Kluyveromyces lactis: one gene and its partners. The protein of the gene in region 1 interacts with the protein of each later gene in a pairwise test. Links are inferred from orthologs where the notes say so. Each region holds a gene or a part of one and is shown on either strand. Other genes may lie near its edges.

The links.
Region 2: the proteins of KLLA0_F26807g (region 1) and ARG81 interact in a two-hybrid assay, tested with the Saccharomyces cerevisiae proteins (2 studies listed by BioGRID). The link is inferred for Kluyveromyces lactis from reciprocal best matches to the Saccharomyces cerevisiae genes MCM1 and ARG81.
Region 3: the proteins of KLLA0_F26807g (region 1) and ARG82 interact in a two-hybrid assay, tested with the Saccharomyces cerevisiae proteins (3 studies listed by BioGRID). The link is inferred for Kluyveromyces lactis from reciprocal best matches to the Saccharomyces cerevisiae genes MCM1 and ARG82.

What each region holds. Positions count from the first base shown.
Region 1 is NC_006042.1:2,471,619-2,481,505, forward strand, and holds KLLA0_F26807g (uncharacterized protein), read right to left. Parts: upstream 3,835-9,887; coding exon 3,124-3,834; downstream 1-3,123. Other genes in the region: IOC4 (Ioc4p), read right to left, coding at 632-1,957; KLLA0_F26818g (uncharacterized protein), read left to right, coding at 5,513-5,737; YET2 (Yet2p), read left to right, coding at 6,164-6,787; D-arabinose 1-dehydrogenase (NAD(P)(+)) ARA2, read right to left, coding at 6,847-7,833; chromatin-binding transcription coactivator SUB1, read left to right, coding at 8,391-9,125; putative Mg(2+) transporter MNR2, read left to right, coding at 9,663-9,887. UniProt on the Saccharomyces cerevisiae protein: Transcription factor required for the efficient replication of minichromosomes and the transcriptional regulation of early cell cycle genes. Activates transcription of ECB-dependent genes during the G1/M phase.
Region 2 is NC_006040.1:859,052-870,641, reverse strand, and holds ARG81 (Arg81p), read left to right. Parts: upstream 1-6,345; coding exon 6,346-8,916; downstream 8,917-11,590. Other genes in the region: KLLA0_D10285g (putative asparagine synthase), read right to left, coding at 1-888; guanine nucleotide exchange factor VPS9, read left to right, coding at 1,198-2,511; ERO1 (ER oxidoreductin), read left to right, coding at 3,277-4,962; TAF13 (Taf13p), read right to left, coding at 5,300-5,779; KLLA0_D10175g (SRPBCC domain-containing protein), read right to left, coding at 9,117-9,569; KLLA0_D10153g (Zn(II)2Cys6 transcription factor), read right to left, coding at 10,659-11,590. UniProt on the Saccharomyces cerevisiae protein: With ARG80, ARG82 and MCM1, coordinates the expression of arginine anabolic and catabolic genes in response to arginine.
Region 3 is NC_006040.1:1,480,825-1,491,075, reverse strand, and holds ARG82 (inositol polyphosphate multikinase), read right to left. Parts: upstream 5,202-10,251; coding exon 4,173-5,201; downstream 1-4,172. Other genes in the region: heat shock protein HSP42, read left to right, coding at 409-1,596; SUP35 (translation termination factor GTPase eRF3), read left to right, coding at 2,019-4,121; KLLA0_D17380g (uncharacterized protein), read right to left, coding at 5,586-6,884; Arf family guanine nucleotide exchange factor SEC7, read left to right, coding at 8,007-10,251. UniProt on the Saccharomyces cerevisiae protein: Inositol phosphate kinase with both monophosphoinositol and diphosphoinositol polyphosphate synthase activities.

The DNA of each region.
Region 1 (9,887 bases):
GTCTTGGAACTCTGCCGAGCGTTGGATAGCTCACATGACCTACAGGATGCCTGGCTTAAGCCTATCTTACGACACAAACCATAAGAATCTTACACCAAATGCAGTGACACAATTTCACGAGGTGGATACTGCCCCGCCTCCTCGTGGCACCTCGCCTCCCCTCAGGAATCAAGCCGTCATGTGTTGAATAGCCATGAACCCATATCTCAAGAAGACGCCATGGTAAATTCCATTATGAAATATGTTTATTGAGTGAGTCTTCGATAAAACCATACTTGTGTTTCCTTTTGAGTAAAGTAAGTGCAATATATCTTGAGTCGACGTAACGCAGAAGAATATGTATTGATGGAGATGACTCCAGTGAATGTCCCTCTCATTTAAACGTCTTTCTGATACGTTTATCAGTCATCTGTTGAGTGACCTCCAGAAGAGAATTGAAAGTAGTTCATTATTTTTTTTTACATATTCTCCTTACCACGCTGCAGTGCATAACCACTATATTATGGAGAAGAGCACAACCAAGGCCACCCGAAATATAAACAGTCAAATATGCTAAAAGCTTAATTAATCAAGTCGGAAAGCGTGGCTGATATACAAGCTACGTTGTTAAAACTCTTTAAAATGAAGACCACTACCCAGCTGCAGTGACTTGGGGTGACTCTGGATTGGGCTCATTTTTATCAGGCTCTGGTTTGATTATCTGTGCATCTGAAGACCATGATGAAGTATCAAATTGGAATGGATGATCAAAAATTTCTTCGTATGCTTCCAAAAACTTACCCAAAACATTTGATTCTTGAAGAGCTTGCTTTTTCAAATTGAGAAGAACCCGATAGTTTAATAGGAACTCTGGATTTGATAAAAACATTGTCCATAATTCGTTATGCTTTCCTTTCAAAGAGAGACACATGGCTAGTTCATCCGAAATTAAATGAATTAAGTCTGGATCATCGTTTTTATCCAAAATATATTCTATAAGCATTTTGTTAGCAGCAGACAATCTGTCTTTCAACTCTAATTTCAAATCATTATGGATCTCAAGATTTTTTTTGGTAATTAGCTTTGTCGCAAAAGGTGGGTGGGAATCTAATTCTAAGTCCTGGGGCCCTAACCCCACAATCTTCCAATCGACATCATCTTCGTAATGATATATAACTGGCTTAGTTTTTGCTTTTGGTAGGACAGCTTTAGTACTTTTTTTCGTTGCAGCTTTGGCCTTACCTTTGGTTGTGACCTTTGACCTTGACTTTGGTACTGAGGGGCTTTCTTCATCCAGGTCTTCCGAGATGTCACTCTCATCAATAATATCTGTGTCTCTATGTTTATCCTTATTTTTATCATCATCTGTTGTTTTCGTATTAGATCTTGTTGACCTTCTTGGGGCTGGTTTCGGCTTCTTTGCCTTCGTCCTAGAACTGCTTCGAGTTGGTCTCCTCTTCGAACTTCCCTCAGAGTCAACATTTTCCACGTAATCATCTTCGTCTTCGTCATTTTCGCCTTCTGTGTAGTCATCATCATCTGGTTTCCCACTGGATCCATACTCCACAAACTCCCACACGTCAATACCGGTAGTCAAACCTTGTTTAGCCATTTCATAGGCATGGACCAAATTTTTCGAAGTCTTACTGTTAACTTTAGATAAGAAAGCCTCGATCTGTGGTAGTGTCAACTCATGCAAATTACGTGGGTTTAACCAAATGTAGGAATCATCATGAAAAAACTTCACGCAATAATTGGTTAACTCACGAGTAAATTTCTTAAAAGTAAGCACAGGTGAATATTCAATATTCTCAGCACTATCTGAATCTTGGTCTGATTCATCTGGAAGCTTGGATCTATTTTTCGTAAGAATTTGCTGAGGTATTATCTCAAACGGTATAACCATCGCTGGCCATGGTGGATAACCTTTTACTTTTGCAATTACAATATCCGTAGGTTGCAACATTTTTGACACCATTATGAAATGCACAGTTTTCGCTATTGAAGTATACCTAGCAGATACTTGAAACACCAAGGGTTGAATACCTAGATATTCCACAATCCTTAAAGAAATCGCATTTCACAGTAGCAGTTAAGTAACCTGAAATTTACGATTTCGTGTTTAAAAATCATTGAAAATAAAGCTTCTAAGGCAAAAACATTATATCACATGCAAATAGCCAAGCAATAATGAACCTTACCATCCAAGACTGATTATTTGCTACGCTAACCATAAGAATAGTAAACCTTAATTTATAACTGAAATAAGTTTTAGTATACACCAGCGAAGAAAAGAAAATGTACAAATACATATATATATATAGAACTGTCACAAACGATAATTCTTCTCGGAGAAAACCTACAAACGATAGGAGAAAAGGGTCCAGAGGAAACGGGTTATTTATTAAGAAAATAGGAAGAGAGAAGAATTAGGCATAGAGATAATGATATAGTAAAAGGAAAGCTTGTCCTTCAAAGTCTTATATCATTTCTGAGAGTCCATAGAATGTAAAAAAAAATTAATAAAAGGAAAAGGAAAAGGGTTAAAAAGTCAAGTGGTATGAGAGTTTTTCATCAGTTGCGCTTGGATAATTAAAATTTGTACAGCCTCTGATAGCCAGGAAATGTGTAAGAGTCACAGATCTCTGACATGTCGTATCGGTAGTAATTGAATTAAACTTAAAGTCAATTTGTATTGTATCCTATTTCTATTTCATTTGAGTTTAGTTTAGTTTCGTCTCCGCCCTGCACGCTTCTTTGATCTTTCAATTCAACCAGAGAATCGGGAGATCGACGGCCGATCTACAATTCGAACATTTTCGATGACAAGTCATCAAGGAAAGAGAAGGTGGATACAGATATCTTGAACAGTTGTTTCTAGTGCCACTGAACCAGTCAATTTGAGAATAATAAGATCCAGGAAGGAAAGTAGTAGAAAAAAAGGATGTAAAAAAACAGTTAGCTCACAACACGTAGACAGGCATAAATTAACTGATAACAACAACGAAAATATAACAGAACAAAAGTTTGCTTCAAAGTAGTTAATTAGATTCATATGGTTTTCAGCTCTTTTCATGTCTTTCTGTGCCATTTCTTTGAAGTGGTCAGTGTTTCACAGAATTCCAGTTAAGAAATCCCTTAAGTTCAAAACTGGCCATGTTGAGAGTTAACGCCGTTGAAGTATTGTTCGTAGGCGGCAGCATGGTCTGGGTTTAAATAAGAAGCATTAGTGAAATTCGGAGTTTGGCCCGTGCCTTGAACCTGAGGTTGCTGGTGCTGTACGGATTGGGGTTGTTGTTGCTGTTGTGAATTTTGGCCCTGCTGTTGGAGCGCCAAACGTTGTTGCTGTTGCTGTTGTTGCTGTTGTTGCTGCTGCTGCTGCTGCTGTTGTTGTTGCTGGGGCAGAAGGCCGTGGGAATGTCCACCACCTGGCAATTGGACCGAGGTAGGTACTGTGGAGTGTGGCTGACCACCAACATCGCCGCCATGATCGTGTTGCACGTTATGTTCATCATCTTCATCTTCATCTTCCTCCTCATCGTCATCATCCTCATCGTCTTCCTCTGGTGCATTCAAACACGCTTGAATTAAATTCTTGCCCTCAGGTTGTGTAACAATGGGTTGGAACTTTGGTGTAGTGAACGTATAAACTAGACCGGTTTCAGAAACAACCAAAAGAAGAACCTGAGTACCTGTTAACACAGATAACTCATATGCCTTCTTCATAATACCATGTTTCCGCTTCGAAAAGGTGATATGACGCCTGGTCTTATCCTGAATGAATTTGATCTCAATTTTTCTCCTTTCCTTGGTTTCTTTCGTGACACTGTCGTCTTTAACTTCTGAATCCGACATCACGGGCACTTGCAGCTGATTTTTTTTTTGTTTCGGTACTTTCTAAATGAGAAACACTGTTTATACCTGTTTTGTTATTTCCACAGTCTGATTATTCTATAATTGAGAGAAAAAATATATCAACAGTACAAGTACTAGTGCGACCTGGGAATGGTAAGTGGAAGTATCTAATTAACTTAATGAGGTTACTAAATAACAAAAACTTTTCAATGCTGTGCACTTCCCTAAACAGTAAAACACCTGTGTAAACTATCAGGCAAAAACACCAACTCTATATTCTTTGTTCTTTATTCTATAATTCTTTATTCTTGCGAGAAAAAAAAACGCACACATATACAGACTAAGCGAGATAAACAGTAGAAGTCAGTATTTTTAAGCAGCGAAAAATATAAAAAAATTATGGAGCTAACTGTAAATAAAGAGAGGGAGAGAGATATTATGCTCAAACACAAGGACACATTTTCTTATGACCAGTGGATTATCTGGAGGTAAAGTTTAGTTGGCTCTCAAATGTACTATGGTGATGATGTACTATGTATCAAAGTTTCGTCAACTGCAGAAGTTGGTTTTTTTCTCTTCAAGGAGATTCTGAGTATAATGTTACCGTAGATATAGATGTAGATGACACCTTTTTCTTAGGTACAGCAGGATACTAGGGATTCCTTTTGTTGACAAGGTGTTAATTGCATCCCGCCGCTATAGGACACATCTACGACGATCAACGATATATGTGGCGAGTGTTTAGGCACTTACTTATCCTTATTATATTCTTCTGTTGCCTTACCATTCATAGCATTGTCAATATCCGGACGTAGTGTTTTGAGAACTGGCCGGACCTCCTTTTCGACTGTGTGTCGTGTAGAATTACTCAAAAGAGGCATAATATGAGATAAGGGAGTGATTAGTGAAGAGCAGAGACCAAAATGTCACAGTGTACGTTACACGTGACACCAGGCGCCTCATAAAAGTTACCCGGATATCGTCCAATTCAGTACAGAGTAAAACGACGCGTGTGGTGTGTGGGTGATGGTACATGGGGTTATGGTGGTGCCACCAATACCACGACTATTGCTTATCTAAGCATAAAAATCAGCAGAGATTTTCGCTGTTCTATAATAAGCCATAGGAAGGAACATTAGGAGAAATAGGGACACCGTAGATGATATTGGGGTTTGGAATTATCGGGAAATATGTACAGAAAACAGGAAAGTGTTTCTATTACTTTCCGTATGCGGGTGATTGTCATACTTTCTGGAGTCCCCAGCCGGTACCACATTTTGATTGTTATCTCACACCATTGGAAGAGGATATACTTCCACAAGATAAACAGTGGAAATCAGAGAATAGCTGAAAATATGGTGAGATTTCCATTTCAATTGGTATGATTTGAATTCAATCTATACTTGGAATACCGGCAAATAATAATTATACGCTGATACCCCAGGGACGTGCAAAGTATCATCACTTTTCAGATGCAACTCCAAAAGGAATGACTATATAAAGACTGATTATATATGCCGTTAAATTCTTCTTGAAACCTTAGCGCTTTCCCTTCTTTTGTACCTGTTAATCGTATATCCTAATTTCCCTTCAAAACTGTCCCAAGCTACAATCAGGACAACAAACTGTTTACTGTCGCATCACTTCACACAGGACAAATAATAATCAATATACTACAATGAACCCAACTTTAGTTAGAGCTTTCCACAGATCCGCCGTCAGACTATCCCAAGCTTCTGCGGACGCTTCTTCACACAGTATGTCTACCGGAAAGTGGTTTGCTACCCTAGGAGGTGTCACTGTACTACTTGGTGCTGGTGCTGGTGCCTTGCAATGGGCCTACAAAGATTCAAAAATTGACCAAATCTTTGCCAAGGAAAGAAGACAGGGTCTACACCATTGAAGCAAAAATTGACCAAAAGCTTGCTGAACGTCGGACTCGTGCGGTTAAATACTGAGATTTTTATATATTCTTCAATTTTGTACTAATTTAATGAACGGTTATTAAACATACCCTACCCAGGTAGCGCCAGTTTTATTTTTTTTTATTTATTCTGTCGTTACTTTGTTCTTCGTTATGGAAAACTGACGCACCTGTCGGTTTAATCTTTTTTTTTTTTTATGATTGGTACTTTTACATTGCTTTGGTTCTATTTTTTGATCTTCGATACTTTTTTTTTAAGGTACTATTTAAGAACACAGTTACATATTCGACAAACTTTAATCAGTCAAAGCAACGGTAAAATTAGGATTCTTTTCAGTGGTTGGTTGTCTCATCGAATATTTGAATTATAATTGGAGGTACCAAATTGTAATCAGAAACTTTAAAATGTCAATCTATTTCTCTGTGTTGTTCATACTTCTTGTGGCCCAAATGGCTTTCATGTTCATGATAGTTATGCCCTTGCATTATCAGATAAGGAAAAGATTAGTGGTTTTCTCTGATAATTTTTTATCAGGTCCTCAATTTAGAACTGTGGTGGCTATATTAAGTTGTTTAGTGATGCTACTGTTCATTGACTCATGGAAACGTGCACAGCTCCCAGTGTTCTCTCACGCAGAGAAACCACAAGATGTGGCTAGTTCGTTGAAGACATTGACTACAAGGGCTTACAATCAAAGAAACGTATACATTTCGGGGTTCATTCTATACTTTACTATTTGTATTCCTGTCTTATTGAACTTATTAACCCGTTTGGTAAAATACGAGACTCTAATTAGGGAACTGAACTCTGTACCTGCAGTTGAAAACAAGCAAGATGAGAAGGATAAGAACAAAGCCAAGGAGAAAGAAGTCGCATCTCCCCAATTAACCGCACTACAAAAGGAGTTGGAATCAAAGAAAGTATCTTTGAAGGCGTTAAAGATTCAAATAAACAATCTAAACGAACACTTCGATGCCACTATTAAGGATAAGGATCCTCAGCCAGCCTCAGAGAAGAAAAACGATTGATATGAAACAATGTACGAACTTTTACTTAACTATAAAGCACGAAACAAAAAAATCCATTATTAACGACCACGAATACCGGATTCCCATGTCGAATTCATCAATTCTTTGAAAATGCTTTCTTGGACATGTGTCACTAATTGATTCTCTTCTGTAGTTAACCCATCATTATCTATAACCTCTTTATAATTTCTTAAGGCATGTTCTACTTCAACGACGTTACTGCATCCCAGAACTGTAGGTCCGCGGTTCAACCATTGGAAGATGGCATACTTTGTTGCCAGGTCAGCAATTTCAACGCCCTCTTTCAACAGGTACTTGGCGGCCTCACTACTCCTATGACGTAGTTCCTGTGAGCATGGATGGAAAGACTTAGTTTCACCACTGGTCAATAGAGACATTGAAAGGATGGATCCGTTGGCAACGGTTTTCACTTGACATTCTTCGATGAATTTATCGTAATACTGCTCTAGTATAAGATTTTGTAAGTTGAGGTTACAATACGATAAAATGTTGTCCAATGAACCAATGCGTTTGATATCCTTACATTTCTTAGCAATTTGATATAAGAAATCGACAGGGTACCCACTGATACCAATTCTCAAGACGATTCCTTCATCTTTCAACTTTCTCATTTCAGTGAGAGCCTCCAAGATCATATCCTCTTCGACAAACTCAATGTCATGTAGATATAACACATCCAAGTAATTTGTCTTCAACCTTTCACATGATCTCAAAACACTGCTTCTCACATGCTCCTTCGAGTAATCAAAGTCATCAAGTTGAATTCTACCAACTTTGGTGCATATTTGGTACGAGTTCCTTGGCCATTGTTCCTGAATAGATTCCAACGCTTCACCATATATTATCTCACTGGGACCATAGTATGGTGATGTATCAATAGCGTTGATTCCATTAGCGAAGGCGAACTTTAGCATATCAACAACGGGAATCGAGTATGGATTATCATTGTATTGAGTATTTAAAGTTGCTCCTCCTAAAACCAGCTGTGGTAATCCACCGAACCTCTCAACCTGCTTAACGACCATCTTTAATTTCACGGGTATGACAGGTCGATGCTAAAGTATAAATTGTATCTATATATAGGTCTGACCTACTTCAATGTTATCAATTACCAGGCGCATGCCAGTTAAATTCGATTTCTATTCGAAACCTGCAGTTCGCTCAACCACAGTTTTACCTTTTTCTCAGATTTCTTTCTTTTCTTGAATGTCAACATGGGATAAAACGAAAACTGGTTAGAAGTATTATCATCAGAACAAACAACACACAAAAGTTTTCATGAGTGATGGAACGAATGAACGGTATTAGATAAAAATTAATATTTGAGAGTGTTCGGTGGATTGTTACTTATGTGAGTGTATATCTATTTTGTATTTCTATAGAGACCAGTTTGTTTTTATCTCAGTTGAGCAGTTTAGAAATTACTATTGGAGGCAAAGATTTGAGCTAGAGCAATCACAAGACTCAAAAGTTCTTCCAACAGCAGCAAACAGTTTCTATTGTGATTAGCATAATCAGCAGACAAAGTTGTGTATTCAAGAGATAGTAGTGGTAAAATTTACTAGGAGAAACATTGCCCAGCATGCCATTCAAAAGAAGAATTGACAGTATCATGAGCAATGATCGAGGCTTTGAACTTGGTAAGAACAAGAGAGTAACGATTCGTCGTTTCAAAAATATCAATTTGATTGATATTCGTGAGTACTATCTGGACCAATCGTCTGGAGACATGAGACCTGGTAAGAAAGGTATATCGCTAACGGAGGAGCAGTACGATCAATTGATTAGGCACAGAAGTGAAATCGAGAACTGTTTGATTGATTTAGGGTCTTCTAGATCCTTAACGGATAGACCAGAGATGGATTCGTTACTTGAGAAGAAGCAGAAGAAGGACAAGCTCAAGAAGGAGAAGGAGAAGGAGAAGGAAAAGGAAAGGGAAAAGCTGAAGAAAGAAAAGGAGCTGCAAAGAGAAAAGGAGGATCGAGCTAATACTATGGGTGGAATTGTCGTACCCACAAACGTGAACGCTGTGAAAGAAGAACAACAGGACGATGCATCTGATGACGCAAACATCAAAGATGAAGATGAGGCACAGTTCGAGACAGTGAACACCGATTCTATAGCCACTACGACAAGAGCTTCCACCTCTGCCAGCAGCAATCCAAGACTGGATGATCATCTGGGGAAACTGCCTCGTTCAGCACCTGCTGTAGAAGAAGAAGATGGCGATAATACTATGGAAAGCGATCTGGCCAAGGCATTGTCACAGGACCCTCAAAACGGTCACTCAGATGAAGATATCTCCGAAGCTGATTAGATTAAATCAGACGAGATTCCGAAAGTGCTTTCCTCTTTTTTTACCATTCTTAAGCCTACGATCTTTACATAAATATATACCACTAAGTATATGCACACTTGCTTAATTTCTTATTTACTTGTTTGGCAGTCTACACGTTTAGAAGGTTGATGCTATTGTCATCAGTTACCCGGACGAAGCTCCTCTTCTAGATCGAAAGCGGAAAGCTATAGCAAAGAAAAGAAAAATATATCAAACCTAAATCAAACTGTTTATTTCTGAAAGATCAAACTACCTGATAATTTCATTTCAGATAATATGAATTAAATGGAAAGGAAAGTCAATGGCATAGAACGTTTCTGTTTGAGTGTGTATCTATCAATATTCCAATTTTGATTTATCAGGCATGCTAGCAAGAGTGTAAGGAGAAGGATTTTACACTAGCACGCTCTTTTCGGTTTAATTGTGAGAGTTAACGTTTGATTTTCCATTTATATCAAGAAATTCAAGGACCCTTAAAACACACCACTCTCATTTTAGTAGATTGATAACGGCGTGATGCCAGATAAAAAGGATCAGGTGCCCTTACTAGGCTCTCCGGAGACGAAAGCTAAGCGGACCAGGAGACGTTCCGTGTTTCAGAATGCAGATGTACAGTCTCCTTACCGGGTGAAAGTCGATAAATCCGATTCGATGGGATTGTTACACGATACAGATGACGACGAGGATGAGACAGAAGAAAACGTCTTTCAAACGTCAAATTCAAGAAAGTCTCATGGTTCT
Region 2 (11,590 bases), on another chromosome or scaffold:
AGGATTTTCAAAACCAACATTCAGAAGCTCAATTATCGTTTCAGAATTCCTATTAATTTTAATGAGTTGTTCACACAGTAGTGCTGTGATTACGGAACAATCTAATCCACCAGAAAATAAAATGCTAATATTTCCGTTTTCCAAATGCATAGGATGAATTGTAACTATTCTTTGGTATACCGATCGTCTAAGGCACTCGTACAATTTAATCTTATACTCTTCTAATAATTGGAAATCATTATCAATCTGGTCGGAGACTATGTATGGCTCATCGTGAATTTTAACGGAACCTGTGAGTTGTTTAGTATTAATATCAAAGATATAAATGACACCGGCTAGACAGTTCTGGAAACCGTCACATCTTCCACTTACACTGGTAATATATAGCTCATCATCAAGTAATATGTAGCTCAAGCTTCGCTTACCGATGCTATCTCTCCCAAAATATACCTTTCGTTCTTGAAGATCAGTAATTGCGTACGCAAATTCTCCATAACATTTCCTTACTACCTCTTCAACAGAATGCTTTTCCAAAAGTGAAGAAATATATTCCGTATCACTGTGTTCACAATTTTCAACAGTATCATCATTATACAGTTCCCCGTTATACTGTAGAAGGTAACGATCTTGTACCATGACGCTTTGTTTCGTGAATGGTGTTCTTAAAGATAATACAGATGAGAACAACATAGCATTAATTTCAGATAACGATCTCAATGACGCATAGTTTGGACCTCTTCTCACGATATACGGTATCAGTTCATTAAATAACGTATTACTATTACATGACTGTATTGGTCCTGTTAGGTCTTTCTCGTATAGTTCTTGGAATTCATCAGTAAGAGTTGATCCAAATGATTTACCAAAATATGCCAAAATACCACACATACCAAACTAAAAGCGACCAACTCAAGTAGCTTATTGTACTCTAATTGAAGTATAACAACTCTACATGTAAAGCTTTATTACCAGAGGGGTCCACCTGAGATGAGATATATGTATATTGACAACTTTTTTTTTTAATTTTTCAGGCTGCCAAACCTTTAGAAATAAATCAAACATGTAAATAAAGAACAAGATTGACTCTTGATCGAGAACGCCATTTTACGAAAAGAACCCTAGCGAATCGTAAATGGTTTCGAACCAACAGCGAAACTGTTTTTTACATTCATAGAGGGTGACATCTGTTTATCCCAAATGGACGCAGACGACGATAAAGGATTCAATGCTTCTCCAGAGACAATTTCGGAGAAGCCATTAGCTGACGTAGGGGAAAACTTAGATGAAAAGAATAATTACTATGACTTTCAAGCATTTCTCAAGATAATGCGAGACCCTAAGGCAGATCCTATTGTCAAACATACCAAATCATTTATTAGGAATTTTGTAAGCCAACGAGAAAACTGGACAACATCTGAACAAGAGAAGCTCATTAATGACTTTAAAGTTTTCATATATGATAAACTTCTGACAAATGAAGCCTTCAGAGACCTCAGTGATGCGCAGATAAAGAATGCTAAGGAAGGAATAGAGAAATTAGTGATGGGGAAACTTTATTATAAGTGTTTTTCTCCTTGTCTAGTGAACGAGAAGAGAAGTTCAGATGCTACGCATGAACAGGATCTTTTAGATGACGCCAAGTTAAGGGACAAAATCTTAGAGTTCAGATTCCTTGGCCCAGAACATTTGGATATCATTCCGGATTTGATCAACGGAAAACTTCACAGTTTCATAGCACTTTCCGCAAAAGAACTGGCCAAAATCAACCAGTATCGCTCCCCTAGAGATAAAATGGTTTGTGTTCTAAACTCATGTAAAGTTTTATTCGGGCTTTTGAAACACAATAACAAGTTGAATGGTGGTGCGGATCACTTTGTACCATTGTTAATATTTACTTTGCTCAAAAGCGATGTCCCTCATCTTATCAGCAACGTTCGTTACATTGAAAGATTTAGATTTCCATCGTTCTTGATGGGAGAAAACGCATATTATTTAAGCACCTTACAAGGAGCGGTCAATTTCATTCTAGATATGGATATAGATTCGATCAGCATCTTAGAAACGGATAAAGACTTCAACAAGAAATATTCTCAGAATCAGGAGGAAATCAAGGATCTTAAAAAGCAAGAACTTCTAAATCCAAAGGATTCATCTACCAAGTTCCCACACCGTACTGTGTCACCTTCGCCAAGTGAGTATATACTCAAGCCGCTTGATGATGCTGCAAATTCAGTGCTAACTAAACTCAACGACTTTTGGAACACAAGTACTTCTCCAACACCCTCTTCACCAGAGTATGAGGATAGATCTCCCAGAGATCATCAAGAGATCGACGAACATACAGCCACCGTTTTGGCACAACAGATGGAGCATAAAGAGCAAGAAAATACACTTCAAACATTACAGTTGATGTTTCCGGATTTAGACCCAGATCTTATTCGAGACGTATGCATAGCTAGCAAATACAGAGTCGGTGTTTGCGTAGACTCATTGTTAGAAATGGCAGAATGATTATTAAACATTTCTTTGGGCGATTTATTAATAATTTCAGCCATCTGAATTATACATTGGAGATCCAGTAGCATGCTCAAGAGAAATCGTTTAAGTGTTAATACTGGTAGTGAATTGTTAATGTATCCTCACAATATCAACACCAGCACTGTCCGTATTAGTTACATTTTGTGCAATGCACTTATATAGAACTTACATTTAGTACCTTCACAAAGGGGAAGCTGCCCCCGACGAATGAGATAGTGATTGTAGTTTCATCAAGTTTCCATCTATTCGCCACCAGTGCCACCTATGCATGACCATACCTCCCATGGAATTTCCAATCGTTTCGAAACTGTCATGTGACGTTTTTTCAAAATACATATTGACGTGTTCAATCGTTAAGAAATACAATCTACGTATGCTAAAATAGCGATAATGCCCATGGGTTCCCGCACTAAAAGAAAGACTCTTTCACTTCACAAGCTTCCTCCTTAGTCATCTACCGTGAGTGGTATATGTGTTCATAACAAAAATGCTCCGGTGCTTATTCACCTATACTGCCTGTAGTAAAAGTGTCACTTGATGATTCCCATTCCACTTTTTCTTTTGAGCCAAAAGGTACCCTAGAAAGAAGAAAAGAGAAAATAAAATCGGTTAATTTATATAAGGCTAAGATTCAATCATTTGATTTCAAATCATCAGTTAGTAAATAGTAACTGATAGATTGTCATACAGGTGAGCATTAAGTAGTTTCAAGAAATCACAATACTGTTACCTTAAACCATGGTAAAAGTTCTGCAACTATGCTTTTTGAGCGCAATATCGCTCGTTCAAGCGTTGAATTCGACTGTAGATCAAAAAGATGAGGCGAAAGTGGATATCAACACTGTTTTCGATAATGATTCGACTAATTTCTGCCGCATGGACAAGACAGAAGCTATTGGAGCCACCTGTGATGTGACCTTCCATGAAATTAACGAGGTTAACAATAATATTAGACCACAATTGTTGTCGTTGGTTCAAAGTGATTTTTTCAAGTATTTCAAATTGGATTTATATAAAGAGTGTCCATTCTGGTCGGATAACAATGGGTACTGCGTAAATCGTGCGTGTGCTGTTGATGTGGTAGAAGATTGGGATAGCTTACCAGAGTATTGGCAGCCTGAAATTTTGGGTAACATTGAAAATGCTACCACTGATATTACCGATGATGAATGTTCATTTTTAGATGAGTTATGTGACAAACCTCGTTTCGAAGCTGAAAAGGATATTGAATACTGTGATACCAATGATTTCAATAGCCAGCATTCAGTATTAGTTGATTTGACCGCTAATCCTGAGAGATTTACGGGTTACGGCGGTGAACAATCGTCGCAAATCTGGTCCAGCATTTACAAGGAAAACTGTTTCTCATTAGGTGACGAAAACCAATGCTTAGCTAAGGACGCCTTCTACAGATTGATATCGGGATTGCATGCTTCAATTGGTACTCATCTTTCCAATGAACATTTAAACACCGAAACAGGTAAATGGGAACCTAATTTGGAACTATTTATGACCAGGGTAGGAAATTTCCCTGACCGTGTATCGAACATTTACTTCAACTTTGCCGTTGTCGCGAAGGCCCTTTGGAAAATTAGACCATATATGAATGAACTAGGTTTCTGTAATGCTTACAACGAGGACGTTAAGGGAATGATTGATGGTGTCGTTTCTCAGCTAAATAGCAAAGTTTTCAACGAAGATTTACTTTTCCATGATGAGGTCAGTGGCCAACTTAAGGATGATTTCAGAATCAGGTTCAAGAATGTCACGAAAATTATGGACTGTGTGCAATGTGATAGATGTAGATTGTGGGGTAAAGTGCAAACCACTGGATATGCTACTAGTTTGAAGATTTTGTTCGAAATGGATAACGATGACGATGTGGCAAGACAGCATGTCGTTGATAAACTTACCAAGTACGAATTAATTGCTTTATTCAACACTTTTGACAGATTGTCAAAGTCAGTGGAAGCAGTTAACAGATTCGAAGAAATGTACAACTATCAATTAAAGAGTCCTGGTGAAAAACTGGCCTCCTTTTTCCAATTGGATAATTTCTTCAAAGTATTGAATGATAAGTTTAACAGTGCCAATCATTCATCTCAAGAAAAAGAATCCGTTAGTAACGTAGAAAAGAAGGTAAATGAATTCAATGATCTAAAAATGCCAGAGAAGAAGAAAGAAACACATACCGAAGTTCGTGAACAGGCCAGCGGTGTATTCAAAGAAGCATGGGATGTAGAATGGAAGAATTTCAAGCAAGCGTTGCGGTTTATCGTAACAAGTTATACGGACCTACCTTCCACTGTTAGTAAGTACACTGTACTAAAGCTCAATAAACTCTGGAACAAGTTTATTGGTGTTCCAAACTATCTCGAAGAAGGAGAGGAGCTTGAATATCCATCCTACAACTACGAAGAATAGATTAAAAACCTCTCAAATTGTCATTTTATATGACAATTTGTTTATAGATATTAAGAACTACAGGAGAACCAGCTGAAAATTCCAATTATGAAGATAAAGGTGATTATGTTCAAATAATACCCTCTCATAAGCTATTCATTTGGTTAATATATAGCTAATAGAAAAAATAAACGTATATGTTGCCGCTAAGTATGCATAAATATGGCATTTTGTTCAGAAAGGCGTAATACTATAATGATAGAATTTATATGAGGATTGCTTTGTTTTTTCACTTCTTTTGCCCAGCAAGAGAAGGATTTCAAGTACAGATATGCTAGGGGTAATGCGAATGTAACTCTCAGCTTGTTTCCCGTTTCTTCTTCTTAGGAGGTTCATTTCCCTTTTTCCTTGGTCTGCCTACCGGACGTGAGGTAGGAACGGGTTCAGGAACCGTTGTCGTCTCCTCATCTTCATCAGCCGAAATGTGGTCATCATCACCGTCATCTTTCACTCGTTTCAAAGATTTCCCCTCTGAATTATCAAATTGTTTCCTGGCATCGGTAATAACTTTATTCATCTTAATCAACTCTTCAGCTCTACCTAATTTCACCTCGTCCTTTCGAAGTACAAATCTGAAATCTTCCACTTTAATCTTATTCCTCTTCACGGTTTGAGCCGAGTAGTACGCATTGGCACATATATCGCTCAAATAAGACACCACCAATTCGTCTACACATTGAATGGTCTCTGGTAAAGGTTGCGCGACATCACCAAACGCATACATCAAAGAGCCAACATCTTTACTGAAAAGACTTGTTTTACGAATTCTTCTGGACATTCCTGTGTTGATCTAGAACTCCAACCGACTAGTCAGCTCTACTCCATGGAATGGACGAATGCGCTATAAGCTAAACTGTATAGCTTGATCATTGTTTCGTGATTTTGATTCTGGTTCTGAGTTTTATGTCAAACTGTCAACTTAAACACAGCGAAGAATAGTGCGAGTTTGCTTTTTTTTTTTTCGCAGCAAAAAATCGCTTGCGTTTTTTTGTCCCCAAATATCATGCGCAGTCCATCCAACAGTTAAGCTATATAGGGAGCTTTTTAGCGAGAAAGAAATTGACAAATCGCCTAACCCTTCCGCTTGTGTGAAAATTTTGAGAAAAGACGAACAGAGGAAAGGACATGACAGATCCACATCGCATCTTCTGAGGATCAGATAAACAGAGCAATGATAATAAACCGATTAGTACCGCTCAAGATAAGGTTTTAGTAGATATTATTGTTCCAACAGTGGCATCATTTAGACGCTCATCTGCGTGTGGTTGATATTGAAGGTTTGGTAAATATTGGAGGCTATTTTTCCTTCACAGCGACTGTGAGTCAAAGAGGATACAAGCAGGAATGAAGCCTGCGAAGCCCAGAGTGAAGACGTTCACGGGATGCTGGACATGTAGATCAAGGAAAGTAAAGTGTGATCTTCGGCGGCCCGGATGTGAGCGATGTGAGAAAGGTGGGTTAATATGTGGAGGATACGATGTAAAACTTCGGTGGACCCGGCCAATTCAGTTTGACACTATGGGTAATGTGACCGCAACACCTACAGGAATCAAAGATCCAGATGAGCCTCAGTATCAGAGAAGAAACGTTGATTTCGTTCGGTACAAAGAGGAATATGTGTATTATGAGGATATGGACGATGAATTATCAGCGTTAAGCTCTCCTCCTTTAGAGCTCATCTCTGAAGACAAGACTTGGATTATAAAGAAATTTGGTGTGTTCAAAGGCACAGATAAGGTCAAAAAAAGGTACGTGCCACGGAAGAAACGTAAGAAGAATCAAGTTTTCATTAATGCCATCGAAAAAGCTCAGAAGAAACTAGCTAATAAGAAAAATAAGGTTAAAACTGCTGATTCAGATTCGAAAGAGGGCACAAATTTATGCACTCCAGAAGATATGGAATCATCATCTGCTAATGATGATCATACATCTGCGCAGCAGCTTCATTCCCTATTCGAATTCGATATGAATTCTTTGTTGTTTCCTGGGAACGAGTGGATCTCAAATGAACTACGGGACGATGCATTACTATCGGCGTCCGCAGTGCAAGGGGAAACAATACCATTTATGGGTATTCGTCAGAATAATACACCGGATACGCCACAAACTCCTCTCACAGTAGATAATATGGGGAAAAAGAATGGTAGTGTTAATGGTAATTGTAATGACGGTCGCACATCTGGAAACGATAATGAAGACGAATTGGCTAGAGTCTATCGGCTCCTCTTCCATAGAAGAGGATCTTCTGATCAACCGCCACCTCCGACTATTACTTCCGAAACTAAAAGTGGTCATGCAAAGGAAACCATTGGCATTGTACCATTGAGGAATTTTGTGGAGCTAAACGTTCCAGGATCTACTATGCCGAGAAGTGCTATCGAAGTGATTCACTCTCAAGTTCCTGATCCCTCCATTTTTAATCGTCCAGGAAATACAAACCCTTTACTTGATATTCCCACAACAGGTGTACATGTTCATGGGTTAGCGAGATTCTTGCTAAATTATTACTTACAGAACGTTGCTGACCTAATGACTGTGGTTGTTCTACCAACTAATTCCTGGAAAACTATATATTTTCCACGTGCACTCAAAGCATTAGGTGATCTAACAGGTATCGGTTACACCTCAAATTCAAGAAACTCACTTCTAAATGCGTTACTCGCAGTTTCTTGCTTCAATCTCCAAAGTAAATTTCCCAAGAACTCTCCGGAAATGAAGTTCTTCTTAACACTTGGGATTGAATTTAGAACACAGGCATCAAGCTTTCTCAAAAGGTGCTTATCTAATACGGTAAACCAAGAGCGGTATAAGGACATTTTGACTGCAATCTTATCTATGAATTCTATTGATGTCGTCTGGGGAACCATGGCTGATTGTCAAGTTCACTTGGCTATCTGTGAAGACTTCGTTGAAAATAGAATGAAGACTAGACCGAAGATTTCGGCTAAAGCAAAGGCTCTCCATCGAATTTTTTCCTTCTTGAAACTCATTCAAGATAGTACCAGTTTGGACAAGGTCAGAACCAAGGAAATTGTAATACTGGACAACAATTCTTCCATTGATTCGCATATATCTTCTGGCATATCTTTATCTAATGGAGAATTTAAAGAATCCCTCAATAGAGAGGATGGTAAAATTGTAATTGAATTTTTCAGTTCACCTTCCAGCGGTAAGCCTTCTCCTGTGGCTTTCCCAAAAGGTTCACACGATAGTTCTGGTGTGACGACTCCCATTTTCTCCAATATAGCAAGCGAATCCTATTATTACCCGAAATCTAACGATACTGATAATAATATACTAAGTACCGACGCATTATACGGTTTACCAAACTCTCTCATATTATTATTTTCGGACTGTGTTCGACTTGCTCGGCACTTGGAGTATTATCGGCAGCATAATATTGTAACACCAAAGGCATTCAAAAAACTATGTACTGAATTTGAACAAAGAATTTTATCCTGGAAATCAGAATGGGATTTCAAAGTACCAGGCTCGCCTGATCATTTCGTTAATGACACTATTGAAGGTGTTTATCACCATACTATGAGTTTTTACAATGGATTGATCATTTACTACTTCACCGTTGTTAAAGGTTTAACTTACAAATACGTTAAACATCACGTGCAAAACGTGTTGAATAGCTTGATCCAATTGACAGAGTTGATTGAGAATAAGGGCGTTAAAATAGTTCCCTTAATTTGGCAAGGGTTTATGGCAGGATGTGCTTGCATCGACAGTAATTTACAATTAGAATTCAAAGAATGGGCAGCCAAACTTTGTAAATCTGGGATGGGTTCTTACTGGGGAGCTCGGCAGATTATGTTCGAGGTATGGAGAAGAAGATTGAACGGAGAACAAAATGATGACTGGTTCTCTGTCTACAAAGATTGGGAAATGAATTTAATGTTGTCCTAATATAGCTCAGCACAACAACGAGAAGTGCAATTGCGTTCATCATGTGAATAATCGCATAATTTATAGAAGAGAAAACACAAAATATTTAACTTAATAATACCACATGGATAGGAGTTTTGATAAAAAGTACATTTATGTTTCTTCTTATATCAAATTGGGAAAGGTTCTGATTTTAATTTCGTTCGTCACAGAAAGGGATATTAAGCGGAATTTTCAACTCTATCTTTCAAAGCATTGTTGAATGCTTCGAATCCAATCTGAGTTTTCTTTCCAACATACCATAATAGGGGTTTCTTTAAAACACCACCAAAGGCTTCGGATTGAATAAGTTCCGTTTTCATACCATCTTCCAATGGCTTAAACTCGAATTTATGTGTTCCATTGAACACGGACTTGACACCCAGAACACCCGTCCAAGAAAATTCTGCGTCGGAGTTTGTGATGACAACTGGAGCCATCTTTTGAGGAGATCCCCCGTCGAAATCCAATAGAACCTGTAAACCTTTCCCTGGCACTGGGCCTTCTTGTTTGTCACTTGGTGATATTTCCTTAATGAAAGTGGACCATTCAGAATATTTTGTAAAGTCCAAAAATACCCCTCTCACTACGCTTGGAGCCGCGTTAATAATAGTTCTAGCTTCGATATCTGCCATCTTATCTCTATGCAGTATCAGTGCCAAGGCTGTTGATATTTCTTGCCCTTCAATAGTATATTTACGGTTTATATTATCAGCCGTGCTATTTTTTTTTCGAGGTATGTTTTTTCAGCCTTTTTATACAGATTCAATCCCTTTCGGCAATAAGCTGTAATTCAATGATATACATTCAAGATATTAGTAATATTTGATTTAGTATCACAGAAAGTACAGTATCATGCTAATCAGCTACATTCTAGTTCATTGTGTGTTTTTTTTTTTGTTACTTGTTAATATACCGAATATACCAAGCTACTTTCACAATCACTTGCTGTAAACTCAATGGCTGTGTTCTTCATAAGTTCGATTCCTATTCTCTTCCAAAATTATATATAGTAGTTATCTAGCTTAATGGACTAAAGTGCTGAAACAATTCCTTGCTGTGAAATTATAATAAAACTTATTAATCTGCAATCCTCTAAGATAATTTACTTTGTCGCTTAATAATTCCCAATAATTATAGCATTACAACAATTCTTATGAGTCTACATTGAAGGGGATTGAATATTGACAAAGCAAGTAATATGTATTTATCTATAATACCACGGGGAGAATACAATGCATTGTATGGATTGATAGTAAGCTTCGAGAGGGATAGCGAACATATCTTTGGTGGAAAAGTCTGACAGAATTTCAGGTAAAAAAAAATGAAGACAAGGTAAAAATAAAGAATGGTATGCCAGATTAACAAACACACTAAAATACAGTGAGAGAAGCAACTTATAGACATAAGTTATATTAGGTAATTCACCATGCACTAATATCTTTCGAATTCAAAGTTCAATACTGAAATTCCATGTCACTGTCCGCATGAGAACTGGGCAACAGCGTGATTACGCAACGTAAGTTAATTTGTATCTCAAGGTATGGCAGAGCCTTCTTATACTTCTCTTAATACAACTGTAAAACATACATCATTTTATCAGATTAACTAGAGAAGAGCCATGAAACAGTCATAATAATATACATAATATAAAGTAACAGAAACGAAGAAAAAGTCATAAAACTGATAAAACCGTTAAGTTAGTTCTATCATTTAGTTTTGAACTACGCAAAGAACGTTGAAAATTCATCATCAAACATGTCAAGCGCAGAATCAAGAAATAGATCGTTATCCCTAATGCCATAAGGAAGTGCATTCATATCGAGAATATGTGATTCTTGATTGGTGGGTGGCAATGACCAGTCAAATGCCTGGATAATGCTAGTGGAAAACTCGTCCGATACAATAAACAAGTATGATTGATTGAGTAAGTTGTCTAATTCCAACCCACGTTCATTTTTGAAGGTGTCATGAACCAATTTGAAATACCTGTAAGCTAAAACGGCATTAAATGACACGTCGGTGTCAGTTTGCAAATACGTATCAAACGTAGCAATGAATTTCTGAAGATCTACATCACTGGACACAACGGCCGACCCATCGTCTTCACGATTCATGTATGCATCAGAAAATATAAGAACGAGCTCATGTGTGACTCTCGGTAACACAGTATGGTGCAGATATAACCCTAAACTGATATCTAAACAGGAATCAACGTTAGTTGTGCCCTTGATTGTTCTTTGTCGGTTATATACGGCACGAATATAATTCAGAACCAAGACCAGTGATGCGATATGGCACAAGGATGCATTTTGTATCAATTGTTTGGACCCGCTTGGGTTAATCTGAGATTCAATTATGGACAAATTTGAGATCATCTGTAAAGAGAGAAGAATCGTTAAAAGCTTATGAAAATTAATAGGTTCATCATTAATACCTTGAGACAAGTAAGGCGTAAGAGATCCAAAATTGGTTAGAATGGAGAACTTCAATTGAAGTATAGAAACTTTCAAATCAGGAGCATTTTTGGTAGAATACACTTCTGCTATAATTTTTCTCAAGAATAGCAAATAACTAGCAGGTGAATAATTCTGTTCGGTTTCAATTGTCATACCTGGGCTTTGATCAAAATCAAACAGAAAATCATCACTAATCA
Region 3 (10,251 bases), on another chromosome or scaffold:
TCGTAGGAATCCTTCAAGCCTCAAAGCCATTCGTTGCTGGTCGCCACTCTTACGGCTATATGTCAGCCTTGTTTTTTGTCTCCTCCAACTTTATTTCTATGAACTTCCCTAACGTTCCACATATTACTAGACTTTTCGATCTTCTACTGGTACTGAAGGAAAAAAAAGGCTAAATTCACGCATTATTAAGGGAGAAAAAAGGTATAAAAGGTTTAATTCTTCGGTGGCAATCCCTAGATTTGCCATTGCCAATTTGATGTAATTTGTGATTGTCTGGTATATTGCTACCTATAGGTTCAAATTGATCCTAGTAACAGCAAAAACAGCTTTCTAGCGGTTTATTCAAAGGAAGGACGGATATAGCCTTTGAGTGCAATTATACATATTACCATATCAACCCTTTCCATTATGAGTTTTTATCAACCATCTTTGTCCCTTTACGACGTTCTAGATGCATTAACTAACAAGGCTGGCGCCAGAGGTGATTATGAAGATAATATCTACGGTGGAAGACAACCTCAAAGAAGAGCTGCTAATCAAGGGTATGACAGATACGACCCTTTTGCCGCTAGAAGACAGGGCTACGTTCCTGGCAGCTATTACTATTCAGTTCCAAACGCATCCTACTACCAGCCAGTTTATTACACAAATGAAGATGCTCAACCTCAGAGAAGACCCACGCATTACCATCCACACCGTACTGTTCGCAGGACCGGTGCTCCAACAACAGCTTCTAGAAGGGCTGTTGGACCAACATCTGGTGATGATGTAGTTGGGGCTCTTTTGAGTGCTTTGGCCGGTGGTAATTCCGACATTTTCAGAGGGGATGCTGATGAAGAAAGTCAGAGACAAGCAACTGATGATGAACAAGAAAACGATGAACAGGAGCAAGCCGCTGCTCTTGCGGCAGCCGAAGAAGCTCTTGCAAATCAATATTCCGAGGAAGAAAAAGAACGTAATGATCAGCAAATAGACGAGGAAACAGCAGAGCAAGGAGAAGACGCTTCTGACGAGTACAACGAAGATTATAACATGCACAATAATGAGGAACAACAAAAGTTGAATAAGACTACTTCCTCCGTTGACAGCGAAAAGGACGTAAACCAAAAGGATAAACTAGCTTACGAGCCCAGCGGTTTCAGATCTCCGGTTCCTGCACCTTTGCAAGTTTCAAACCCAGAATTGAGACTTGATCTACCATTTTCTCCAGAAGTTAACGTTTATGATACTCCCGAACAGTACGTTGTTGTATTGGCATTACCTGGTGCGAACTCGAAGGAGTTTAAAATTGATTTCCATCCTTCATCGCACGAGTTACTGATCAAAGGTGCTGTCGACAACAAGATCGGGATTGATAAAAAGTACGTGAAGATCTCAGAATTGAAATACGGTGATTTTGAAAGATCTGTCAAGTTCCCCGTTTTACCGAGAATTAAAGATGAAGAGATTAAAGCATCGTACTTTAACGGATTGCTTCAAATCAAAGTCCCAAAAATTCCACAAGATGCTAATAAACCACAACCAAAGAAAAGAATTATAATAGAAGATGTACCAGATGAAGAACTTGTGTTTGAGACTGCTCCTCGCAATTTATGAAATCATCCCTGGCTTCACATTGGAAAACTGGTTCAGCCAAACATTTATATGAACAATTGTTATGAATTAAAATAAGATCTCATGTTTAGTAATCGCTTATGTATAATATTAATATTACACGAATACCAGCACCCTCATTTTATACAGTTACATAGAGGAAGAACGGAACGGTTGCACCAGGTTATTGATGCCATATTACGTATTGGGCGCTACAATGGTGTTAGTCTATTTAGGAATATATGCAGTCGTATAAAATTACATCATCGCTAATTGCAAAAAATTTTAAACAGCTTGATAGAGAAGATCGAAAAGTGTAAGAAAGCGTTACTGATGATCATCATGATCCTCCCATCAGCGAATTGCCCTCTATTTGCAAGCTTAAATTGGAACAAGGTACCGGTCTATAGCATCTACTAGTAGACATGTCAGACCAACAAAATCAAGACCAAGGGCAAGGCCAAGGTTACAATCAGTATAACCAATATGGCCAGTACAACCAGTACTACAACCAACAGGGCTATCAAGGCTACAACGGCCAACAAGGTGCTCCTCAAGGCTACCAAGCATATCAAGCTTATGGACAGCAGCCTCAAGGAGCCTACCAGGGCTACAACCCTCAACAAGCTCAAGGCTACCAACCTTACCAGGGCTACAATGCTCAGCAACAAGGTTACAACGCTCAGCAAGGCGGTCACAACAATAACTACAATAAAAATTATAATAATAAAAACAGTTACAATAACTATAATAAGCAGGGTTATCAAGGTGCTCAAGGATATAATGCACAACAGCCAACCGGTTACGCTGCTCCAGCACAGTCTTCATCCCAGGGTATGACTTTGAAAGATTTCCAAAACCAACAAGGCAGTACTAATGCAGCCAAGCCAAAGCCTAAGTTAAAGTTGGCCTCTAGCTCTGGTATTAAGTTAGTAGGTGCCAAGAAACCTGTAGCACCCAAAACTGAGAAAACTGATGAATCCAAGGAAGCAACTAAAACTACCGACGACAACGAAGAAGCACAATCTGAATTGCCCAAAATTGATGATTTGAAAATCTCAGAGGCTGAAAAACCAAAAACTAAGGAGAATACCCCATCTGCTGATGATACTTCCTCAGAGAAGACTACCAGCGCTAAGGCAGACACATCTACAGGAGGAGCGAACTCCGTGGATGCTCTAATCAAGGAACAAGAAGATGAGGTTGACGAAGAAGTCGTTAAAGATATGTTTGGTGGTAAGGATCATGTTTCCATCATTTTCATGGGTCACGTCGATGCTGGTAAGTCAACAATGGGTGGTAACTTGTTATATCTGACTGGTTCTGTGGATAAAAGAACCGTTGAGAAATATGAGAGAGAGGCTAAAGAGGCTGGTAGACAAGGTTGGTATTTATCATGGGTGATGGATACCAACAAAGAAGAAAGAAACGACGGTAAAACCATTGAAGTGGGTAGAGCGTACTTTGAAACTGAAAAGAGACGTTACACTATTTTGGATGCTCCCGGTCACAAAATGTATGTTTCTGAAATGATTGGTGGTGCATCTCAAGCCGATATTGGTATTTTGGTTATTTCTGCTAGAAAGGGTGAATATGAAACTGGTTTCGAAAAGGGTGGTCAAACTCGTGAGCACGCTTTATTAGCCAAGACACAAGGTGTCAACAAAATGATTGTAGTTATCAACAAGATGGATGATCCAACTGTGGGATGGGATAAGGAAAGATATGATCACTGTGTTGGTAACTTGACAAACTTTTTGAAGGCTGTGGGTTACAATGTTAAGGAGGACGTCATTTTCATGCCAGTGTCTGGTTACACAGGTGCAGGTTTGAAGGAACGTGTCGATCCTAAGGACTGTCCATGGTATACTGGTCCATCTTTATTAGAATATCTTGACAATATGAAGACTACTGATCGTCATATCAATGCTCCATTCATGCTTCCAATTGCTTCTAAGATGAAGGACATGGGTACTGTTGTGGAAGGTAAAATCGAATCTGGACACATTAGAAAGGGTAACCAAACTTTACTAATGCCTAACAGGACCTCTGTTGAAATTCTGACCATTTATAACGAAACTGAAAGCGAAGTTGACATGGCTGTTTGTGGTGAGCAGGTTAGATTAAGAATTAAAGGTGTCGAAGAAGAAGAAATTTCTGCTGGTTTCGTTCTAACCTCTCCAAAAAACCCAGTTAAGAATGTAACGAGATTTGTGGCTCAAATTGCTATTGTCGAATTGAAATCGATCATGTCTGCTGGTTTCTCGTGCGTTATGCATATTCATACAGCTATCGAAGAAGTCACCGTCACAAGATTGCTTCACAAGCTTGAGAAGGGGTCAAACAGAAAATCAAAGAAGCCTCCAGCATTTGCTAAAAAGGGTATGAAGATCATTGCCGTTATCGAGACTAATGAACCGGTATGTGTTGAAACATACGATGATTACCCACAATTGGGTAGATTCACTTTAAGAGATCAAGGTACCACCATTGCTATCGGTAAGATTGTGAAAATCCTTGAAAATTGATCTCGGTTTTTATGAATCCATATCACAATGCATATTTACTAGGTGTCTAGTCTAGATTGTATATTTAGTTTTTAATCTTTCAAAAATGTCTATAAGACTTTCAACCCCGTCAAGTACATTGTCATCTATTCCTAATCCTGGGGTAAATTTGGTATGTGCAAAATCTATTATCGACATGCGACTCAATTCTGTCTTTCCTGATATGCTCTCCTTTGACTGTCCATCTTTAATGGACCCTTCCTCATCCGAATCATATGATACATGGGACGGTATTAATTCTTGTTCCTGAGAGAAGTTGATCCACCGAGTAGTATCGCATTCATATATGAATAGAAGGCTACTTGATATCATGCGAACCTCTTCATTCAATAGCGTATTATAGAAAAGCTGAAGCCTTTTTGAAAACATGTGAATCAAATCATTACGATTTTGGAGTGAAAGATTATTATCGCCAAAGTACAAATCAAATGCGTCCGTTACATTCGAAGCTGTCAACTCACGACCGTAATATTTATTGACAAAAATATACCCATCATCTTCCGGTTCATAATACTTCGAGTGTAGTTCTTGGACATTTGTGTTTTTTAAGATATTCATACCACATATTCTAAACCCTAAAGTCCCAGAAGTTGATGTCTTACTTACTTCATCTAATCTTATTCTTTTCTCTTCACTTGCTGCATCATCCCACAGAACATGTCCTAACTTGATATCCAATACGTTTGGTCGTACATATCCGTGCAATAGATTTTCCATAACTAAGTAAACATTTCCATCGGTTTGTGACTTACTAGTTAGACTTGTGGGGGAACACGCGTTCAGTCTCTCTATTACTCTTTCTTGGTCAAAGTCTTTGTTCTGTTCTTTATTCTCTTGCAATATACCTAAGAATGTAGGTGTCCAGTCCTGTAATGGAATGTCATCCGTGTTGTCTATTGCATGTCTGGTGGCCAAGTGTTCATAAAACTTTATTTCTTGTTTCGTGGAAGGTTTGAACAGAAGCATCTCATTGGGATCCGTTAATGGTCCTTCATGGCCAGCAGCTTGACGTTTTAGTTTCTTAAAGTCTTTGATGTTCATGCTGTATATTCAAAACGCCATCTATAGGTGATTCCTCGTCCTCATGAGCTCAATTCTTTCTTTACGCAGTTGATGTAGCATCATCTGGCTTGCTCGAACGGTGCTCAGTTGTCTTTTTTATTTTTATAAATACATTCTTCTGTCAGTAGATGTTATCAAAAAAGGTATTCATAGAATTGCGGCATTCATATCATTCCAGAATGATATGCTTGCCAATAGAAAACATACAAAATCTATACATATATTAACTGGCTTCAAAATAGTAACAAAATATTGCATGTGGTATTCATCCACTTATTTATCATTGGGAGGTCAAAGTCTAGTTCCGTTTCGGTATTTTTTTTAAGTTAAGTAACATCCGGAGAACATGAGCTAACGAAAATTTCACACATCGTTCCATAATCTCCCATGGACTGATTGTAATTCCTCTTTAGTTGGTGCTTTTTCTGATGAGAAATAACCTGAGTTGATTTTAGCATCGATTTCAACTCTGGAATCTGGAGGAATCATTTCATCTGGAATCGGAATTCTTTCGACGATTTCAATTCCCTGATCAACGATTGCATCATATTTCATGTTTGACATGGACAACATCTTATCGATCTTGGAAATACCTAACCATTTAAGGACGTCTGGCATTAATTGTTGAAATCTCATATCCCTCACACCAGCGATACATTCTGTTCTGTGGAAATACTCGTCAGCGGTATCACCGCCTCTCTTACGAGCATTGTATACTAAATATTTGGTAACTTCACCAAGTGCACGCCCTTCTTTACGGAAGTAAATAACAAGACCAGTTCCTCCATTCTGGGCCTCCTTTACTGCTTCAATAATACCAAACATCAAGTATGGACGGCAAGTACAAATATCAGAACCGAAGACGTCGGAACCGTTACATTCATCGTGAACTCTCAAAGCGATTTTCTTTTCTGGATTGGAAATGTTTTGCGGATTACCGAAAATATACACTGTCAATCCACCAATTGGAGGCATGTAAGTTTTGATATCGGGTCTAGTGATCAATTCTGGGTACATACCATTTGTATCCTCAAATAAACATTTTCTTAACTCTTCTTCAGTGATTCCAAATCTTTCAGCGACCCCTGGTAAATACCAAACAGGTTCAACGGCAATCTTCGAAACACTTAGGTCACCGTTAGAGTTGACAATGATATTACCGTCGATTTTCAATTCGCCTTTATCAACGGCCTCTTTCAACTCAAGCAATTGCATGGTTGCCTTGGTGATGGCAATAGTTGGTCTGATATCCACGTTTGCAGACTTAGCAACATCATCAAACAAATAAGGTGTTAAGTGACCAAAAGGATCCATCGATACAATATCACGGTTGTTAAACCATGATGGCTGTTCTGGGATTGTAAACACAGGTTGCGCGTTGGTATAGTCTGGAATATGGTCGCGTTTTAACTGGTTTGAACCAATGGCCAAAGCATTATAGATGCAGTATGGACCAGCATGAGCACCGATGCAATTGTGTTTAGAGATACCACTTTTATTTCTTGATGGAACCACAGGACCCCTTTCTTGACAATCAGCAGCACCCCAGTTCAATGGGATAGGAGAGGAATCTTCTGGGTAGGTGGTTAAAAGGACATCATTAACTGGTGTCGCTTTGATGTGTTGTTCTACTTCCTTACGGGTAACGGCGATTGGACTCATCTTTAGTTGATAATTTCACAATATCCTTAATGATTGATACTTTTTGATTTAATCTTGATACTTATAGATGTGTTTACTATATGCATTACTTAATTGAACCTTATCCAAACTAAGTTCTTCTTCTTCGACAAACGCTCTTCTTTTATAGATTTTGAAGGATAATATATCCTGTAATAATTTACACAAAGATAACTAGGCTCCCATGCACTCGAAACTATACAAATCGCTCGAGCTTTCCGTTTTCTATCTCCCGTACCTCTTTTTGTTATCCTAATCACACGCTATCTACGTTTTTGTTTCACTAACTGACGCATGTCAATTTTCCTCCGACGGATTTCCTTCGGAGGAAAATGGTACAGCATATTATGTCAGCACCGCCAGTATTAAACAGGGAAAACAACGACTAAATATCTCCTATGGAGATATGTATACATACATATGGGTAGATAGATGCTTTACACATGAAGGTGTTAGTTAACCGCACTAATTGACATACATGCAATCTGTTTACTTGTTTTTAGGTTGTTATTCTCAATCACTAAGGTCGCCAACGGAGATTTGAGGTCCCAAACTCAAAGTAGAGATATGAAAAGTAAATTCAGATTGTAAGTTTGGAAATTATTACAAATGCTCCAGAATATACCAAATTTGGCGTCCCTTTGTGGGCTATGAAGTGCTATAAAAGAGGTTACTCCAATAGATAATTCTCATCATAGATGATTCTAATCACGTGATCAACAAATCACGTGCTCGACACAGCAGAAGAGGCTTATAAAATTATACAATGTAGAACTAAACTTAAGTTTCCAGATCCATTTCCTGTAGCAAGTATCTACGGTTTATATCACTGCCTCTTGGCTGAACATTCTGGTAACATCATTCAGCTGCTTTACTTAATCACTTATACTTCAGAAAGACTTCAGAGAGCAGATCTTCAAGCCAATTCTCCTATTATAGGGGAAAAACGGAGCCAGCCATCCACCTTAAAAGGAAAGAAAAAAAATATCTGAAATTAAATGAGATTCAGAAAGAAGTATACATAATATCGTATTTGGTGGAACGATTACGGAGGTGATTATATACACACTAAGGTGCAGTGCTGTCGAAGAAATATTGCCAAACATGTCAGAAGAACCTGTGGACCGCACGAACCCAGCAATTGCTGAGGAACGTGATATACAAGCCCTAGATTCGACCACGACTGTTGATATCAATGTGAATTCGGTAACCGACGCTGATGCGAACGTGGAGAACAACACCCCTGATGTGCCTGATGTTGATGTGACGCCATCTCCATCAGCAAATAAAACTGTAAATAGTAACACCGAGGGAGCGGCCCATGCTAGAAATGCGTCAATTGTATCTATGAATAACGCGAACATTAAATCGGTTGTTTTGTTTGTAAAATCAACGTTGGAATCCATAATGAAATCCAAAGAACTTAAGAAACTTACGAGTTGTCAGAAAGATATAGAAAGGACTTTGAAGTCCCTAGAACAAACCTCAGCAGCGCCAACCGGAACTTCGGTAGAAATTGACTCGTTGCTCGTTTTTGAAGCGTTAAGATCATGTTGCAGATCTAAGATCATTGATATTCAAATAAAGGCTTTAGATTGTTTCGCTAAACTGTTCTCCTTTCAAGCCTTGGACGAATCGCTGCTAGTGAATCCTCCAGACTCAATGGCTTCAAACGATCAGAACCCTGAAAATATTGGAATTACTCCACCTCCAAAACAAAAGCTTATTGATGCGGTAATTGACACAATTTGTGATTGTTTTGAAGGGGAAAATACAGACTCAAGAGTGGAACTGCAAGTTGTACGTGGTTTAGCCAGTTGTATCTTAATCGATGAAGCTACTTCTTGTGTCCATGGCGCTTCCTTATTGAAGGCCATCAGACAAATTTACAACATTTTCATCTTTTCGCTACATTCATCCAATCAAGGCATAGCGCAAGCCACTTTGACCCAAATTGTCACGACCGTTTTCGATAGGATCGATGTGAAAAGTTTGAATCAACAGAGATCACTTTCAACAATTAGCTTAAAGAATGCTGCTTCCACCAATGGAGGAACATCCACTCCATCATCTGAACATCCGTTAACTTTGCAAAATTTGGATACACTAAATGACGAGACTGAAAGACTGGTAGACGAAGAAGAAAATTTCCAGAAACCCGATGACTCCATCACTGATGAACAAGCTCTTACCATCAAAGACGCTTTCCTTTTGTTTAGAGCCATGGCAAAAATATCTGCAAAACCTTTGGAAGACTCACTAGATATGAGATCTCATGTAGTAAGATCGAAACTTTTATCTCTTCATACTCTACATTCAATATTAAAAGACCATATCGACGTTTTCTTGTCTCAAAACGTTAGGGTTCCAGGAAAAGAGCAAGTCAGCTTAGTTCATGCAGTCAATCAGTATTTGTGTTTATCACTTGCGAGAAATGCAGCCTCTCCAATTGCGCCCGTGTATGAGATAACTTTAGAAATTATGTGGTTGATAATATCGAACTTGAGATCTGAGTTTAAGAGAGAGATTCCCGTGTTCCTCACAGATATTTATTTCCCTATTGCGGATTTAAAGTCTTCGACCAATCACCAGAAAAGATACTTTTTGAGTATTATCCAACGTGTTTGTAATGATCCACGGACGCTCATTGAATTCTATCTTAATTATGACTGTGATAGTCATATGCCAAATGTTGTTGAGTTGATCATAAACTACCTCACAAAATTAGCTCTTACACGTGTAGATGTGACAACATCACAAAGAGCTTATTACAATGATTCATTAAGCAAGCCGCTTGCAACATTTAGTTATACTCAAGTTCCTTTGTTATCGATCTCCAATATCCCATCATCTTCTGACTCCTCTCAACTTCCGTTTCCGGTTGATTATGCTCTAAAACAAATGGCCCTTACATGTATGGTCGCGTTCCTCACATCTTTGAGTTCATGGGCACATAAAGCGCTAAATTCCAGTTCGATCAACACGGTAGGGAGTAGCCAATCCAAAGCTTTGAGCCAGAGAGCAGATTCCTCAACCCTCCTATCTTCGAACAGACCTCGTTCAACTTCTGCTCTCAGTTCGGTGTCTAACACGGATACAAACTCTGTATCTGAATCAACAACAAATGAAGAAGTAGATGACCCTCTGCAATTTGAAACTGCTAAATTAAGGAAAACGGAACTGTTGAATTGTGTGAAGTTATTTAACTACAAAACTAAGAAGGGAATTGCAGAGTCGATAAAAAAAGGTTTCATCGAGGACGATTCCAGTGTTGCTATTGCAAAATGGTTATTGAATACCGATGGGCTTGACCTATCTGCCGTAGGAGAATATCTTGGTGAAGGCAATG